Tribolium castaneum: one gene and its partner. The protein of the gene in region 1 binds, or shares a complex with, the protein of each later gene. Links are inferred from orthologs where the notes say so. Each region holds a gene or a part of one and is shown on either strand. Other genes may lie near its edges.

The links. The genes of interacting proteins can lie anywhere in the genome.
Region 2: Usp39 (region 1) and peptidyl-prolyl cis-trans isomerase H share a complex: the UniProt entries of both Homo sapiens proteins name them as parts of the U4/U6-U5 tri-snRNP complex. The link is inferred for Tribolium castaneum from reciprocal best matches to the Homo sapiens genes USP39 and PPIH.

The regions. Positions count from the first base shown.
Region 1 is NC_087394.1:36,569,784-36,573,514, forward strand, and holds Usp39 (ubiquitin carboxyl-terminal hydrolase 39), read right to left. Parts: upstream 2,888-3,731; 5' UTR 2,744-2,887; coding exon 2,668-2,743; intron 2,621-2,667; coding exon 2,582-2,620; intron 2,531-2,581; coding exon 2,270-2,530; intron 1,960-2,269; exon of another isoform or gene 1,716-1,959; intron 1,255-1,715; coding exon 125-1,254; 3' UTR 95-124; downstream 1-94. Other genes in the region: facilitated trehalose transporter Tret1, read right to left, coding at 2,915-3,731.
Region 2 is NC_087395.1:17,966,435-17,968,968, forward strand, and holds peptidyl-prolyl cis-trans isomerase H, read right to left. Parts: upstream 1,424-2,534; 5' UTR 1,345-1,423; coding exon 1,261-1,344; intron 1,215-1,260; coding exon 1,038-1,214; intron 993-1,037; coding exon 699-992; 3' UTR 654-698; downstream 1-653. Other genes in the region: G-patch domain and KOW motifs-containing protein, read right to left, coding at 1-157, 208-398, 450-583; peptidoglycan-recognition protein 2, read right to left, coding at 1,478-1,668, 1,719-1,837, 1,883-2,102, 2,152-2,209. UniProt on the Homo sapiens protein: PPIase that catalyzes the cis-trans isomerization of proline imidic peptide bonds in oligopeptides and may therefore assist protein folding. Participates in pre-mRNA splicing.

The DNA.
Region 1 (3,731 bases):
CTTTTTGACCAAATCAGGCCAAAAACAAACCGCTCTCTGGACTAAACGTTTCATTACAGAAAAAAATCAGGGAGGGACAAATAAAAGACAAAAATTCCGGTGATAGAATTTTATTCGTAAAAAATTACTTTTCTAATCTTAGCTCATAAATTTGTATATAAGCCTCCGTCAGCGTAATCATCTGCGGCAAAATATCCGTCACATGCAAGTCCTGCATCTCGTACCACTTGCCCGTTGATTTTTGCAAAATATGAACCCTGTAAGTGCCTTTCCCCGGCTCTCCATCATGCACAATATTCGCCACTAGATCATAGACCGTATGTTTATGTTTGGCCTTAACTTCGGGCGTCAAAAACTCGCCAAAATCAACATTCCTAACCGGAAAATTCACAATGGTTGGATTCTTCTCCACGTAGAACGTGTTCTTCGTAAACCTCTTAATATACAAGATTAAATAAGGCGGCAAACGCGTAATCTCAAACTTCTTGAGGAAATTCTCCTTGTAAGTCTTGTACTCCTTCTCGGTCTGTCCGTTGAACTTGGTGAGGAGCTGGTACAAGTTCACCTGGGGGATGATATTCTCCCGGAACTCGTCGATGAAGAGAGGCGGTGGAGGCAAGTCGCAGGTGAGGTACAAGAAGGGTGACTCGGTGATGATCTCCTGGTACTCTGGAGTTGACAAAAGCATGCGTTTCTGTCTGTCGTCAAGCTCGGTCGGTGGTATTTTCCTGGTGTAAATTTTCATGTTTCCGAGGAATGACTGGTAAATGATGGAACTGTTTTTCTTTTTATTGCCGTTAAGTGCCCGATGAAGTGCGTTCAAAAACCACGAAAGGAAATCAATGGGGTCGCCTTGTGCCGTAATTTGGAAGCGCTTTTTGCTCCACAAAACCACAGCTTGGAGCATTTCGTGCGGCGAAACGTGGGCTTTGAAATTTCGGGGGTTCCATAATTTACGCATCAGTTCACCGTAACGTTGCACCAGGAGGTAAGAGGAGTCACCTGGGGGGCGTTTTATCTTGCTGTAGTTCTCCTCACGGAGGAAGTAATTACGTAAAGGGACAACACGTGAAAGGGCTTGTAAAACAACATTACAGTAATCGTTCGCTTTTATGTTGTTTAAACCGACGATTCCTGGCATGTAAAGTAGGCCATCAATTGCTCGGGACATTTTTGTGCTAACGTCCAATGTACTGATGTGTTGTTCGGTAAATGTGGGGTTGAGCAGGTATTTAATGTCGTCGAGGGACGAATCTGTGAGTAATTTAATTTTGTTAGAAAAAAATCGTTGGAGCTTGAAATTAAGTGGCAACACTGATTACTGAAACCGAATACTTCCCCGAACATTTCCTAGTATTTGCTTTTTTCAATTCAGAAATTGACAACACGATTATCGAAAATAGACAAAAAACACAAAAATTAACCGAAAAACCACCAAACGGATTCAATAATTACATAATGTTTGTCTTTTCCGAAGATCCCAACTTGTTATTTCAGGCAGAAATGCCAAACAAGCCGCAAAATTACCAAATCAGGCCACAAATTATCTCATTTTTCCTTTTTTTTTAAGCCATTATGCATGTTTTTGAGCTAAACAGGCATTTATTTTACAAAATTCGTGAATTATGACATTGTAAAAACGTATAAATCCTAATCTTTGTAAAAAGTCTCCCAATTGAAGACTTCGCGCGAATTTCAAATCACGCGCGCTCAAGTGTCATTTTCAAATCAGCCAATGAGGTGCCGTTGGCGTGACATCAGCGTTAGAGTGAAGCTTGTCTGCCGAAGTGCGCGTCCTTTTGCTTTTGCGTGTTGAAAAACCGGTGTTTTGTGCGTGTTAAGTGGCAAAAACGACTCAAATCGACTTTTTATCGGAAATGTGACGTGTGTAGACTATCAAAGTGTGTTAGCAGCAAGCTGGAAGCCGGTTTTGAAAAAATTCAGTTAGACGACGCTAAGGTTAGTCATTTTTGTATTTTTTCCACGATTACTCGGTTTAATTCGAGTTAGTTTCGGTTGAAAACGCATACAAAACGATATTCAATAAAATGCCAATCGGAAAAATGCGACAAAACGAAGATTTCACTTTATTTTTGAAGGGGGGCGTTACTGGCATTGCGCCCTCTCAAACATTCGCGTTATTGAAACGATTTAATCTAATTCGGTGTAAAACTTCAGCTCGAATCAAGTGAGTTGGGTAAAATTGTTGAAATTTGAAGAAAAATGTTGCCAACTTAATTTCAAAACTACAATTGAGAGTATTTATTACCTATTATTTCATAATTGTCGGGCAAGCAGTAAAACTTCAAGGTGTGCAAGTTGAGGAAAACGTGGTGGCCTTCGGCCACCGAATGCGTATAAGCATGTGTGTTTGTGCCTCTACCTTGGAAATATTTTCCGCAAACAAGACAGGCATAAACGTTGATGCGAGTCAACGACACTGAGCACAATTTTTCGAAATCAAAGTCGAGATATTGCCGGTTGATTGTGTCCAAATAGGGGCACAGTCGATGCGTTTGGGGCTTCCCACCTGGAATAGACAATAATAGAACAGGGCGCTTTAATCGATTGATTTTTGTACCTTTCCGGTCCGAATTGTCAGAAGGGGGCTCAATTTCGGCTAAAATTGAACGTTTCAGTTGCGTTTTCGAGGTTATGTGTACTTACGTTGTGAGGAGTTTGATTTGGCTTGGGGCTCCTCGAACTTGGGCTTTTTCATGGCAGGTTCATCGTCCGCTTCCATCGTATTCACGCTTTTTTAATTAATTTTTGATTAAATCACGCTAGGACTGTTTTTGTGTGGTGTTTGCAACTTTAAGGTTATATTTACTGTCAACGGTGTCAATAATAATGTCAATCTGGTTATGCAATAAAATTCGAAATTGTAAAAAAATAAGTACTTTATTCAATAAAATTACGCTTTGAGACTAACTTTCTCTTCTTCGGCGCCTCGTTCATCACAAACTTCGACTTCCCCTCTCAGTTTTTTCTGGATGTCTTCGAGGGTTTTTCCTTTCGTTTCAGGCACAAAGAAATAAATAAAAACTAGTCCAAGTAGCGAACAAATCCCGAAACCGTAAAACGAGACATGTAGTCCGTATTCTACTTTAGTTATTTGTAAGTACTTGGAGGCCACTGTGGCCATCACACTGAAGTAAACATCGGCCAAACAAAGCGCAAAAGCTTTCACATTTGTGGGAAACAACTCCCCTAACATACAAATCGGGATTGACTGCATCCCTAAACTGAAAATTATCACAAAAGCTAGAAGCCCCACAACGGCCACGATCGAAAATGAGCTCGTATCAATGTCCGTTTCGTTCAAAAGATAAAAATAGGTCCCTTCGACAAAAAGGGCTAACGCCGACCCCGCCATTGAGATGATCAACAGTGGTCTTCGACCGGCCTTATCCACAATACTCGAGGAGAACATTGTGAGGAGCAACTGGATGGAGTAGTAAATCATCACAGCGTAATGTGCGGAAATGTGGTCCCCAGCAGTTTGGAAAATCTCATGGGTGTAGAAGGCAATAGCCGTGGTCCCCGCCAATTGCTGGAAGCCCCGGAGCCCCCCGATGATGAAAACGGCCTTCCGGTTGCTCTTCACCCGGAACAAGTCGACGAATTTCCCATTGTGCGACTTTTCCTCAGCCTGGATTGCGTTCCGGATTCGGTTCAAATCCCCGGAGACATTTTCGCGTTTTTTGAGGCGTTCTAGTGATTTCCGGGCC
Region 2 (2,534 bases), on another chromosome or scaffold:
ATGCCACGTAACATCGCCATACCAAAATCTGTAATTGGTACACTTTCGTAGTCGTCGAGAGACGACTCCTGTGCCCCCTCTGCCACAAACTTGTCGTCATTTAAAGGCAAGGAGTAGACTTTTGTCTCGCTTTGTACAGTGTTGCGAGTCTGTGCCTCTGAAAATTTTATTCACACTAGAAAATCACTTGAAACATAGGGTAAGTACCTCGGATTAACTCTCTTGCCGCTAATTCGTCAAGAGATAGGGCAGAGTCTGGCACAGAATTTGCCTCCCCTGTCTCTTCTTTAACTTCAGGTTTGACGTGTTTTTCCCTCGCTTTTTTTATTTGGTCTATTAATTTGTTTGATGGGCCTTGGATTGGTATCACCAACGGCTCATTTGTCTCCTCAACGGCACTAAAATGAGGTTTTTGGCAAAAATAACATAACCTCAAAAACGAAACATACCCTTTTATTTTAATTGATTGACCCTCTAAACAGTCAATTAGCTGTATCTTATTTTCGGGTTTCGGAACACTTGACCTGATTTCGGTCTTTTTACTAATTTTGCTGAAACCGAACGATATTTTTTTATTTTCCATTTCACGATTATTTACGTTTTTGACAAGTGAGGTTATGGGACCACCAACCTGACAAAATAAAAATTTAAACTAAGTTTTATTTTGTGCTTTTATTATTAAAATTTGAATTACACTACTACATTTGGCCACATTGTACAATTGTGACCGGGATTTTGGGCTTATTGTTGGGCCCCGTGGGCACGTTTTCGATTTTCCGCATGACGAGAAGTCCGTCAATAACGCGTCCAAACACCACATGTTTGCCGTCCAGGAAATTACACTTTGCACAAGTTATGAAAAACTGGCAACCGTTGGTGTCTTTGCCGCTGTTTGCCATTGATAGAAGTCCAGGACCGTCATGTCTTAGGTTAAAATTTTCGTCGGGAAACGTTCCGCCCCCATATATACTCATAACGCCGGTCCCATCGCCCTAAAAATATTAATTAGTTGCGGAATCGCATCCCGTGATTTTTACATTGACGAAGTCGCCCCCTTGGATCATAAAGTCCTTGATAACTCGGTGGAAACTAGCCCCCTTGTAGCCCAACGGCACGCCGTCTTTGCGGAACTCGCCGGTGCAAAACTGGCGGAAATTATCGCTGGTTTTGGGGACCGCGTCTGCGAATAACTCGAAAATCATTCGGCCGATTTCCTGTAATCGAAAAATACAGTTTTCGGAAATTTTGGGTTATTGGTACCGTAGTTCCGACGGAAATGTCGAAAAACACGACCGGGTTCGCTGGGTGCTTCAACTGGGCTTGAATTTGGTCCCAATTCGGCATTTTTACGGTTTTTAGTTCCCTAACCTCGAATAATCAAAACAACATAACCTCAAACTTGCGACTAATGGGCGCCATATTTAAATTCAAAATCGTATGCTTTATAATAATTTTATTTTAAAAACTAGAATACAGTTTATTTCGGCGGGGACCTGGTAAAGTGCGGCCAGTTCTGTAGTTCGCGGTACAGCTTTAGGCCCGGACTTTCCGTCGCGCTGACTTGGCGGGCCCCAAACAGTTTGAAACTTTTGCCCAACTCTCCCAACTCAACCCCGCATTGGAGAAAATCTTTAGCGGCTTGTATCTGCTTTTTATTTGGAAGTTGAGCTGTAATAAAAGGCTCGTAAAGTACGAAAATAACACGAAAAACAACCTACTCGTGTAATTGCCGATGAAACCGAGCCCCAAAGACCGGGAGTTGTACCCACGTGTGTGCGCCCCCACTTTGTGCCAACCTGCGCCCTCGTAAATCTGGCCGTCACCACCCACTAAAAAACTAAACCATAATTAAAAAAAAAAAAACAAAAATCATCAAATTTACTTGTATCCAATATCGTGAAAATCTAGATTTTCCATGTGAAAATTCTGAATGTTTCGCAAAATCGCCGCACATTCTTCCTCAGTGCTGCAAGTGTTGGTCACCGTGTGGTGCACGACCACGTTTTCGACAGGGATTAGGGCGTAATCCACTTCCAAAGCAGTGCGAGCCCCCCATCTAGTGCGACTCACGATTTCGGGGCACACTGCCGGCAAGTTTGACTCTGGAAACACCTCATTTAGCAATGGATGGGGTTTGAGCGGTGGTTTTACCTGTTCGAGCCAGAATTTGGTGCAAAATTGAGAAAATAATCACGAACTTTCGTCCCATATTCAACTTTGCCTTGTATGCAAAATTAAAATTATTTATTTAATTAGCACGTCCTTTAATGGAACAACACGAGTAACCTTCGAGATGATAAACTTCTGCATTTATATACGGTGACCTGTGGGGTCTATGACTTTATCTTCTTGTTATGGTTTTTATCTCTGGGTTGTGGGGATTCCCGATCAGGGACTTCACCAACGGTGACTAAAGTTAAATAAAAACAAGAGCAACGAATTTAATTTTATTTTTGTGCTGGATTTTGCAGTCTTCTTAGACGTCCTTATCACTATCAGTTCTTATCATGTTTTATTAAATCATAACTTAACGT